3 linked regions of the Sus scrofa genome follow. The protein of the gene in region 1 purifies or fractionates together with the protein of each later gene. This does not show direct contact. Links are inferred from orthologs where the notes say so. Each region holds a gene or a part of one and is shown in the gene's direction. Other genes may lie near its edges.

Evidence for each region.
Region 2: the proteins of CAMKV (region 1) and GPC4 purify together in Homo sapiens (affinity purification with mass spectrometry; 3 studies listed by BioGRID and IntAct, counting the BioPlex papers as one, with this or other methods). This does not show direct contact. The link is inferred for Sus scrofa from reciprocal best matches to the Homo sapiens genes CAMKV and GPC4.
Region 3: the proteins of CAMKV (region 1) and TCOF1 purify together in Homo sapiens (affinity purification with mass spectrometry; 3 studies listed by BioGRID and IntAct, counting the BioPlex papers as one, with this or other methods). This does not show direct contact. The link is inferred for Sus scrofa from reciprocal best matches to the Homo sapiens genes CAMKV and TCOF1.

Annotation. Positions count from the first base shown.
Region 1 is NC_010455.5:32,390,453-32,394,195, reverse strand, and holds the start of CAMKV (caM kinase-like vesicle-associated protein), read left to right. Parts: upstream 1-1,216; 5' UTR 1,217-1,256; coding exon 1,257-1,410; intron 1,411-3,743. UniProt on the Homo sapiens protein: Does not appear to have detectable kinase activity.
Region 2 is NC_010461.5:109,327,875-109,331,517, reverse strand, and holds part of GPC4 (glypican-4), read left to right. Parts: coding exon 1-312; intron 313-3,643. UniProt on the Homo sapiens protein: Cell surface proteoglycan that bears heparan sulfate. May be involved in the development of kidney tubules and of the central nervous system.
Region 3 is NC_010444.4:151,392,162-151,395,804, forward strand, and holds part of TCOF1 (treacle protein), read left to right. Parts: intron 1-127; coding exon 128-311; intron 312-1,471; coding exon 1,472-1,593; intron 1,594-2,697; coding exon 2,698-2,811; intron 2,812-3,075; coding exon 3,076-3,307; intron 3,308-3,643.

The DNA of each region.
Region 1 (3,743 bases):
CAGATGCCCAGCTTGCCAGGAATTCCTACCCAGTGATGGAGTGGGTGCTGTGATTGAGACCACCCAGAGCCAGGGAGCCAAGAGCTGGTACCCACCTTGCCTAGAAAAGTGACCAAGCCAGGGAAGGGTTCCTTAACACCTCATCTGGAGAAAGATATTGAGTGATCCTGTTTGAGTAGTCATTTCCCAGGCTAGAATTCCAGCCCCAGTCCCAGCCCCACTTCATCACTTGGGCAGTCACTGCTGTCAACAGCTATGGGGAGCCATGCAGGGGAGACTCCCTCAACAGGGCCATGGAGATGAACCACACAGGATAGGGTCATCAGGCTCACTGAGAAGTTTCAGATGGGGTGCAGCCCAACTCCAGGCACAGAGGAATGTAAGCATGGCTTTCAGATACTGGCTTCAAGGCTTGTGAGTGGGGTGAGGCAAGGGTCTGTGCGTATCCCTGACAAGGGACAGAGAAATGGCAAGGACTTCCTTCAGAGCCCCTTCCCGGCAATTCTGAGCCTCCCTCCAATCAGATGCCAGGTTTGGTGGGGCACCTTGGTGTTATAGTTCTCCTGTATCCTCATATCCCAGCCCAGGCCACTAATGGTGATGCTGCTCATGAAGTGTCTGAGGGTGATAAAACTGGGAAGAAAATAGAGTGCACCATGTCGTAGATAACTTTTAAAGCTTGAGAAGTTTGGTGCCACACAGGAGGGAGCAGACAGGGCCAGCCTGGGAAAGGCCTTGACTTTGTAGGAGAGGAGGGTGGGATGGGTAGGAGACTCTGCCACCAAGGTCTGGAACCCTCATTTTGCACACAGACATGCTTGTGTGTTAACAAGCTAAGGGCAGGCCAGTCTGTAACTGAGCTTGTCCTAGCAACCGCCCACTTAGTTCTTCTACGTGGGTTCTCCTCTTTGGGTCAGCTTTTGGTTGCTGGGCAGAGTGCCGGTCCCCTGGGGACTACTATCCGCAAGACACTCCTGGGCGGTTCCAGGACTCAGGCCCTCCCCAATACTTTCTACTCCGCACCCTCTACAGTGGGCATAGGAAGGCCCCTCTGGCCCTTGTTGCCTGCTCAGTCCCAGAGTCCAAGGTAGCCTTTGAGTGCCTGGCCGCTGCTACTCCTCCTCAACCCGCCTTCTAGTGGGATTCATTCCTGCCTCAGTCTTCTCCACGGTCGGGGCGGAGCCGACTGATGGAGGCCCCGCCCCTAGCCCGCCCCCGGGCCGGGGTGCGAATCCGGTGCTGGCGAGCGGCGGGAGATGCTGGAGGTTCGCGAGCCGAAGTGGCTGCAGCTGGCGCCGCGTCTGCCCCGCGTGCCCGAGCGGATTCTACCCGTCGCCCCCGGAGCCCTCAGCGCCGCACTGAACTCGAGATCGCTTCCTCCCTCTGACCCACCAGCGCTGCAGGTGCGGGGTGAGCAGGGTCGGGGAGGAGGGGGGCGCCCGGCGAATGCACGTTGTGGTATCTTAGGGGATTGGGTCTCTGGCCGAAGGTTCGTGTAGCTTAGTGCGCGGGGACGCTGCTAGGGCTTGGGGTCCCGGCGGGGGCAGAGCACGCGGGTTCTGCAGATCCAGGGGCCGGTGTGAGGGGTTGGGTTAAAGTTCCCCATCACCTCGAACGGCTCGGGGGTCCCAGGGGAAGCCTCTGAGACTCAGTCCAGGCCAATCTCCCCTCCTTGTTCCCCATCCCACCCCCGTCTCGCTGAGCTCTTAATTCTGAGAACATTAACCCTCCGACATTCGTGGTGCCCCATGGGGGTAGAGGCCAAGGGCTCGGCGTTCCACTGGACTCCCAGAGCCGCCTCCAGCCCCTCCCAACTGCCCCCGGGGCCCCCTCCCTCCCGCTAAGCAGTCACTAATTTCCATGACAACGGAGAGTTCTTTATGGGCGACAACCTGAAGGGGGCTGGGCGGGGCTGCCGCGGGATGGGGGTGGAGGCTCAAGCCCCTGGAGACCTGCAGCCCCCTAGCCGAGATCCAGCTTCAAAGCCTTAGCACCGGGCCCGCTGGGGGTCCAGGGAACAGCCTCAGCCCTGCGCGGTGGGGGTGGAGGACGCACATGTTTCTGCTGGGAGGTGCGGGGCTTGGTGCTCACACGTGTGCCTCCCGCATGTGTGTTGCTGTGCCAGCGGGGGCGAGTCAGCAGCACTGGGGAAGGGGGTCAGGGTGGCAGCACAATGGGGAGCAGCCCCCCCCCTCCCCCGGCGAGCAGGGTGAACAATGAAGGAGTGAGTTTCTGTCTTCCCCAGTCCGTAGTGTCTGGCAGAAGAGACCCTAGGTTCTCCCAGCCCCCCATAGCTCTGCCAAACTGCTTTTGTCCGCGCACCCTAGGCACAGCCTGCTCCACCAGGTTCCCACCTGGAAAACAGGGCTCTCTGTCCCTTACCAAAAGCTCAGTCTGCAGCAGTCCAGCCCCTGACCTGCTACCCTCCTCCAAGGCCTAGGCTTTGAGCCCCCCCAGGACTGCCTGCAAAGACCTGGTGCCCTTCCCCACCCTCAGTTGATTCCTGCCAGTATTACGCACCTGCTGGGCCCTGGTTTCCTCACCTGCGAAACTGGTGGTTTCATCCCTCTCAGTGTCATGGTGGGCCCTGGGGTGCAGCAGAGATCTCTCCCTTTCTTTTCAGCGTTTGGGGTGGGCCCCCACATGCCATAGGCTGCCTTTCCCATATCAGCTGCTGGCTCTCCTCTCCAGCCCTCATCCTGGCCACCACTCACTCACCAGCAGGTGGTCAGTCCCTGCCCTGGGAGAGGCCACAGAGTCAGTGATCTCCATCCAGGGAAACTGAGGTGGCGTGGGGGGTGGGAGGGATGCTGTGCAGTTGTTATCCTGTTTCTGGGTTGTTCAGGGTGCTGTTTCTAGCCCTCAGACACACTCCACTGTCAGGGAGGGGGACGGCAGTGGCAGGGAATTAGGCTGAGCTGCAAGAGACGCCCTGGGGACCTAAGGCCTCTAGAGGACAGCTGATGGGGGTGGGGGTGGCTGGGGAGCCTAGGCAGAGCTGGGTCAGCTGAGAGGAGGGGCTGTAAAGGGAAGCAGCCAGGTCTCTGAGCTTCATTTCCATCCCCCATGCTTGTGCCTTCGACATGTTGGCCCTGCTTTACCTAAGCTGCCCAGATGACAGGTAGAGGGGCTGAGGAACTGTTCTGACCGAGGGGGACCGCCACAGCTGGCCTCTTCCCCAGGTTACAGCGGTCCCACACCAAGTTCAGTGCATGTCTAGGGGAATATGGGAGGGTTCCAGCTCAAAGGTCCAGGCACCAGGGACAGCTCCTGGCCCAGGTGTTCAGAGCACATGGTCATGGAGGTTTTAGGGCTCTGCTGGGCACCCATAGGCCTCTGCAAACCCTCCTACCCACTTCCCCTCCTGTGTCCTTGTGCCTGCGTCCTTTTTACTCTGTCGCCTCTTTACTCCCCTTCCACAGCAGGTTCTGCCTTTGTCTCTCTGTGTCCCTGCCCCTCTCTTTTCTGAAGTCTCTCAGTTCCCTACCTCCCCTTCCTTGATGGGGACCAGGGTCACAGAACCCTTGGGGAAGGAATTAGGTCAAAGGAAATTCTTGGAGAAGGGGTTTGAGCAACATCATCCCCTCCCCTCCTCTTTATTTAAAACTTCCATCTCCATAGCAACCCTTTACTCTGGGGCCTTTCCGGCATTTCCCCTTCGCTACCCATAGGGAAGCAGGATCCTCAGTGAATTTTCCTCCAAGGGCTCAAAGATAGAGACCCCAGGTGCCTGGAAGGGGTAG
Region 2 (3,643 bases), on another chromosome or scaffold:
CAAAACTCCGAGCTGTTCAAGGATCTCTTCGAGGAGTTGAAGCGCTACTACGTGGCGGGCAACGTCAACCTGGAGGAGATGCTCCAGGACTTCTGGGCCCGCCTCCTGGAGCGCATGTTCCGCCTGGTGAACTCCCAGTACCACTTCACCGACGAGTATCTGGAATGCGTGAGCAAGTACACGGAGCAGCTGAAGCCCTTTGGAGATGTCCCTCGAAAACTGAAGCTCCAGGTCACTCGTGCGTTTGTAGCAGCCCGGACCTTTGCTCAGGGCTTAGCCGTCGCAAGAGATGTAGTGAGCAAAGTCTCCGTGGTAAGTGCCGTTGGGCCTTCCGGGGGTTTTGCTGCGTTTCATTTGCAAAAAGAACGTTTGGGGAGGTCCCCGTCGTGGCACAGTGGTTCACGAATCCGTCTAGGAACCATGAGGGTGCGGGTTCGATCCCGGGCCTCGCTCAGTGGGTTCAGGATCCGGCGTGGCCGTGAGCTGTGGGGTAGGTCGCAGACGCGGCTCGGATCCCCGCATTGCTGTGGCTCTGGCGTAGGCCGGTGACTACAGCTCCGATTCGACCCCTAACCTAGGAACCTCCGTATGCCGTGGGAGCGGCCCAAGAAATGGCAAAAAGACAAAAAAAAAAAAAAAAAAGAAAAAGAAAAAAGAAAGTTTGGGAGGTGTGGGAAAGTAAATCCCTAGAATTCCATCGGCTCAGCCGCAGCCGTCATCTTTCTCTTCTGTGCTGTGCTTTCTCTCCTACGCTTGGTCCTGGAACGTGGACTGTGTATCGTCATAAACAACACGAGGATGAACATCTTCGTGCATCATCATTCTTTTCTGTGCGTTCCTTGGTAGCTATTCTTCAAAGTACGTTGGAACCTTAATTTTTAAAATGGGTTTAAGCAGCTCCTGTCATGGTTCAGTGGAAACAAATCTGACTAGCATCCATGAGGACACGGGTTCGATCCCTAGCCTCGCTCGGTGGGTTAAGGATCTGGCGTTGCCAGGAGCTGTGGTGTAGGTCACAGATGTGGCTCGGATCCTGCGTGGCTGTGGCTGTGGCATAGGCCGGCAGCTGTAGCTCCAATTGGACCCCTAGCCCGGGGACCTCCGTTGGCCTTGGGGGCGGCCCTAAAAAGACAAAAATCAATAAATAAATGGGTTTAATACCTCTGTATTCTTTTCAGCTCCAGAGAAAGAAACATACAGGATAGGCTCCCCATTTGGTTGTTTTGAGTGACTACATTTGAGCCATCTAGTTAGAGTTTAGAAAAGAATTTAACACCCGTTATTCTGTGTTTCCTTGTTACAAGGTGTATGTACTCAGAGCCCTTGAGAAGACACAACTTCCTGTGACAATTAATGTGGGCCACCTGCTCTTGACTTCTGGCCTTATTTATAGAATTAGCGGGAGAGAGAATGAAATTATAATATGTGGGAAAGAACAGAAGAAATAACCACATTTTCCTGCATTTGTACGGGAAGGAGTTGGATTAGACCAGTGTATTTCAGACGGAGCCAGCTCAGGAGGTACCTTCGGGGCCTCCTTGAGAGGCGGGTGAGACTCTGCCTCTGTGCCTTTATCGCCTGACCGCACTAGGGAAGCTTTGCTTTCCTCAGTTTTAGGTGGCAAAGTCTTGAGCAGGATTTCAAGGGGGGAATGGATCTTTGGCTCCTTCACCCCCCAGAAAGATGGAACTTAAAAGCTTCTTGAAGGCCTTTCCCCCTCTATCCTGTGACTGAATACCACTGAAGAAATGGAATATTCTGGAGCAAAGTTATCTTTGCAAGACTGATCTTAGTGCTTTTATCATTAGGCCCTCAAAGGAAGAGGCAAATTTTTGGTCCATTTGGTTTTGGGGTTTTGGGGGTTTGTATTGTTTTTTCATTTGGCCAAGCCCATGACATGTGGAAGTGCCCAGGCCAGAGATCAAACCTGTGCCACAGCAGTGACAGCACCAGATCCTTAACCTGCTGCACCACCAGGGAACTCCTGTTTGGTTGTTCCTTAAGGACTGGAGGAGTAGTTAAAATGCAAACTGGACAGTGATCCAAACACTAAAATAATCAGTCAGTCTGATTACATATCCAAGAGTTCATTTAAAGTTAGGATAACCGTATAATTTATTGTCCACACCAGGAGATGCCTAATAACAATCCTATCCAGACAATATGTGCCACGGACTTTTTTTTTTATGGATAAATACCTAAGTCTTTTATTTAATGTTTTCCAGTTTTAGTAAAATGAAGACAAACATGTCCTAATTCTCTTCTTTTTCCAATTGCTTCCATGGTTAATTTTTTTTTTCATTCTTTCAAGTTTTTTTGAAGCGCAGTTAATTTATAATGTGATCATTTCTGCTGTACAACAAAGTGATTCAGGTATCCATACACGCATATTCTTTTCCAGATTCCTTTCCCATAGAGATGATCACAGAATATTTGGTATTTTTCATAAGCAACCAGGACTGTCTTGGGCAGCCCAGGATTCATGGTTACCCTAATTAGAGGTGGAATCCTTGACCAGAGCGAAGATAAAGATTCTAAAGAATTGTGTGTTGGAGTTCCCGTCGTGGCGCAGTGGTTGACGAATCCGACTAGGAACCATGAGGTTGCGGGTTCGGTCCCTGCCCTTGCTCAGTGGGTTAAAGGATCCGACGTTGCCGTGAGCTGTGGTGTAGGTTGCAGACGCGGCTCGGATCCCGCGTTGCTGTGGCTCTGGTGTAGGCCGGTGGCTAGAGCTCCGATTGGACCCCTAGCCTGGGAACCTCCATATGCCGAGGGAGCGGCCCTTGAAAAGGCAAAAAGAAAAAAAAAGAATTGTGTGTTGTAAACATTAGGTGCTCATCAGATGTTTCATGTTAGAATTGGGCGGTTTAAATAGTAGTCGACTGGTTGCAGTCATTATTACCCTTTTGTGTGTTCTCGCTCTCATCTCCCAGCCACAAGGCATCAGGAAACAATTCTTTACAGCACATTTTTGTTCAGTCCTTCCCCTCCCGATATTTTCGTCATAAAGTACAAAAAGTTGTTGGGACATACGAGGGGTGGTTGGGACCAAGTGGGGAGGTGATGCTTGTAGTTAAAGGCATCGTCTGATCCCTGAGCTTCCGCCAGCCTCCGCTGCCATTGCTCATCACGAAGATGCTCACGTGAGGTCCCTAAACAGTGCACCGTTAATCACGCTCAAAGTTAATTACATTGTAGTTCCCCGAACTGGTCTGCCTGCCTTCAACAATTCCTCGCATTTATCCTGAGCTGAATAGGCAGAAAGGCGCTGCTGTGTGGTTTGCAAGTCTGTGTGCGTGTGTGCATGCTCAGGCCAAAGAGAAAGGCCTTTGCGAGTGTTTGAAAGTGGAAGTGGTTTCTTTATATTAACCAGCCTCCCCCTCCCCCTTCCTTTTTTAAAATAAAAAAAAAAAATGGGGGGCGGGCATGCTCATGGCATGTGGAAGTTCCCAGGCCAGGGATCCAGCGCTCCGCACAGCAGTGACAAAGCCAGGTCCTTGACCTGCTGCACCCCCTGGGAACTCCTTTCCCCCTCTTCCTTTGAGTCGATTCCTAGGAAGAAGGACCAGGCTGACCCAAGCCTGCCTTGAGGTTAGCCTCACTTTGCAAGGTTGGGGCCCCTTTAGAGGATCCAGACCCCCTA
Region 3 (3,643 bases), on another chromosome or scaffold:
GGCCCGGCCGCCTGCTGCCCCGAGCTCTTTGCCCCCCTCCCCCGTAAAACCCTCCCCTGCCCACCCTTGCCTTCCCCCGGCCAAGCCGTTAATCACCGCGGGCTGTGTTCTGTTTTTGTTTTTCAAGGTGATTAAAACCCCTCTGATTTTTGTCGACCCTAACCGTAGTCCAGCTGGCCCAGCTGCTACCCTCGCCCAAGCCCAGGCTACAAGCGCCGGAAGGAAGGTCCAGGCCTCAGAGAGCACGGCTGGGAGCTCCTCTGAGAGTGAGGACGAGGACGTGGTCCCTGCCACGCAGTGCTCAGCCCCCGGTGAGCTCGGGCCCCGCAGGGCCGACCCCCTGCTGCCACTGCCAGATGCACGCCCCCCACACCCACCCCTGGGGCCCAGGAGCCAGAAGATGCCACGTGGGACGCTGGCCGGGTCCCAGCCAGTTGCTGGTCTGGGGCGCTGGGGGCCAGGTCTGGGCCCAGGCTTGGTTCCTCTTGATGGGGGGCTGGCTCCAAAGGCCAGGACCCGGGCCTGAGGCTGGAGGCCGAGGGACCAGGCGTCTCCATGGTCGGAGGGACGAGCCTTGTGACCTCCGACGCCTGAGCGGGGCAAGGCCTGTGAGGGAGTGAGCCTCCTGCTCCTGGCGGCATGTACGGGGGTGAGGTGGCCCCTAAAGAGAGACATGCAGGGAAGAGCCTGGACACGGGGCCAGATCTGGGATATCTGACTTCTGACAACCCGTGGTCTCACCGTGACAGCAGGAAAACAGTTAATTGCTGTTACTGGTAGTAGCACACCTTTTAATGAGGCTGTTCATACCTGGTCTGGGTAGGCTCATTAGGAAATACATATTAGGTGCACCCGTTGTGGCGCAGCGGGAAGCGAATTTAACCAGTATCCGTGAGGATGCGGGTTCGATCCCTGGCCTCGCTCTGTGGGTTAAGGATCCGGTGTTGCTGTGAGCTGTGGGGTAGGTCGCAGACATGGCTCGGATCGGACATGGCTGTGGCTGTGGCTGTGGGGTAGGCTGGCGGCTGTCGCTCCAATTGGACCCCTAGCCCAGGAACCCCCATATGCTGAGGGTGTGGCCCTAAAAAGACAAAAAAAATGCGGATGAGCCTGAAAGAAACAGCGCGACTGTCCTCCCAGTGTCCAGAGTCGCTGCTGCTGAGTCACACCCGTGAGCCCTCCCTGCCCCTGCAGTGAGACCATACCGTACAGGTGCGCAGTCACCTTCACCCCACGAGGTGCCGCCTCACGCTGACAGCCGGGTCCCTCCGGGCTCCAGAGCGGCTGCTTGGGTGCGGCTCCCGCGCTGTGTCGAGCCGGAGCCGTGGGGCAGGAGGCCGGGGCTGTGCCGGGCCCTTGGGACGGGGCCTCTGCCCGTGGCTGCGGCTGGTGCCGTGTCTTCCCCCTGGCGTGGGGGCGGGCGCCGTGCCAGGCTTCTGTGCCTGACGTGCCCCATCCCGCTCCTTCTCAGCCCTCAGAACCAGCTCGGCGACCGCGCCCCCGGTGCCCCCGAGGACGGCCCCCAGGGCCAGCAGTGGCAAGGAGCCCGGGCAGGCGGCAGAAGGCAGGAAACCGGAGGCGCCAGCCACCCAGGTACCTGGCGGGCGAGGGGCCCTGGCAGCGTTGCCAACAGCAAGCTCTTGGTTGGGTCTCCCCCCGGCGTTGAGCCGGGCTGTTCTCCGGGCGCGCTAAGGTTGCTCCGGTCGTGCGCCCCAGGCTTCCCTGCTTCGGGTCGTCCTTCCTGCCGTGGTCCTGCTGGCACCCAGAAGCCTGGCAGCGAGGAGCTGACGGCTCGTCGCTCAAACGCGGAGCCTGGGCCTCTCCCTCAGCGAGAGGCTGGACCCAGGGCCAGGGTCAGGCAGCGGCGGCAGCGGGGCCCTGGCTCCCAGCCCTGCTCCGGGGCGGCAGCGGCTTGCTGTTGTCCTGGCCCATCGCCCTGCCCCGTTCCGAGAAGGCGCCTCAGAGAGGGCACCTCTGCACGGAGGCCTCGGCCCACAGGCGCTTCCTGGGGGCGCGGGTGCTGAGCGGGGCTAGGCTGTGCTCCCTGCACCCCACGGCCTGCCTCCGCTTGGCCGTTCAGCCGGCCGGGGTGCTGAGCGTCTGTCCCCACGGGCACGGGGTGCGGCGGCCGCAGGTGGGTCCCTGTGCTCGGGGACCTCTCAGGTCGAGGCAGCAGCCATTACACGAGGACACCCAGAGTGGAAGCCCTCACCAGCGGGGACAGTGAGATGACCTGCTTTAGAAAGCCTGGGCCAGCCTCCCTGGGCACGCGGGGGGCACGGCAGGCAGGTGGACCCGGTGCGGGGACCTCGGAGGAGGTGCTTGGGGTGCAGGAGTCGGGGGAGGGTGGAGCGGCCGGGGCTGAGCCCCCAGGTCTCAGCGAGGCCCCGCGGCCACTTCTCTCCTTGGCTACTGGCGGCTGTGGGAAGCAGGAGACTGGCTGTCGCAGCCGCCAGGCTGGAGGCCCAGGGCCTCCCCGGTGAAGGCTCCGATCAGGCCTTGGGACCTGGGGCCCGAGAGCGAGAGGAGCTCGCGGCCCCGCTTTCTGCCCAGGTGGCGGCAGTGCTCCGTGCCCTCAGTCCCACATTTCCTCCTGCAGCTCTGGGGCCCTCCCCCTGCTGGGCAGGAACTGGCCCCGGGTGGCCTGGGTGGCATCTGGAGGACCTGGGAGTCTCAGGCTGCCTTCGGCCCCGACAGGTGACCAAGAGGAGCCCAGCTGACCTCCCGCTGACCCAGGCCGCCCTGAAGGTCCTCGCCCAGAAAGCCAGTGAGGGCCGCCCTGCTGCCGCCAGGACCCCGTCCTCGTGTGCGGTGAGCTGGGCAGCGGGGGTGGGCAGGCCCAGCGCGGAGGGCACAGTGGTCCGAGACCACAGGGGGACCTGGCACCAGCACCTAGCTGCCCGGGGGCCCTAGTGCCCGCACCCGCCTGCTCGGCTTCTGCCGCCCGTCTCAGCCACGGGGGTTCAATGAGGCCCATGTGCAGAGCAGGTCACACGGTGCCTGCCCTTGACTGAGCTGCTTAGCAGGCCCCGATCCTGCCCCCTGATTGTTCCTTCCGCTCTCTCTCCAAACTAGACCGACGGTCTGGGGACACTCCCCACGACACGTCCCCAGAGCGCCCCTGCACAGACCAGAGGGGCCAACGAGCTCAGAAAGCCTGGGGTTCCTGCAGCCCCTCCCTCAAAACGCCCCAAGGCCAAGGCCTCTGGGACCTCAGAGGACAGCGAGGACGGCAGCAGCAGCAGCTCTTCGGGGAGCGAGGACGACGCTGCGGGGCCCCGGGTGGCCCCGGGGGCCCCCGGGCCGGGTAAGGGTCCTGGTGCAGCCTGAGGCTCAGGCCTCGCTCTGCATCTCCACTCGTCCGGTGGCCAGCCTGGGCCTCCACGAGATGCCAGACACCTTTGGGCTTCAGGCTCCTGTCACTGACCCCTCAGGTCCCAGGGCCACGCCTCCCCTGGGAATTCGAAGCTTTGGCATTCAGCTGCCTCACCTGAAATGCTGTGAGTCGCAGTTAACCTGGGAAGGAGCAGTGGGAGCAGATGAAGCTGCGCACAGGGCCCAGGCTGTCCCGGGACCCCCCGAAGGGCTCTCCATGCCCAGCTGGCAGGGGTACCTGGGACTCCAGCAGGCCACCTGTGCTCCT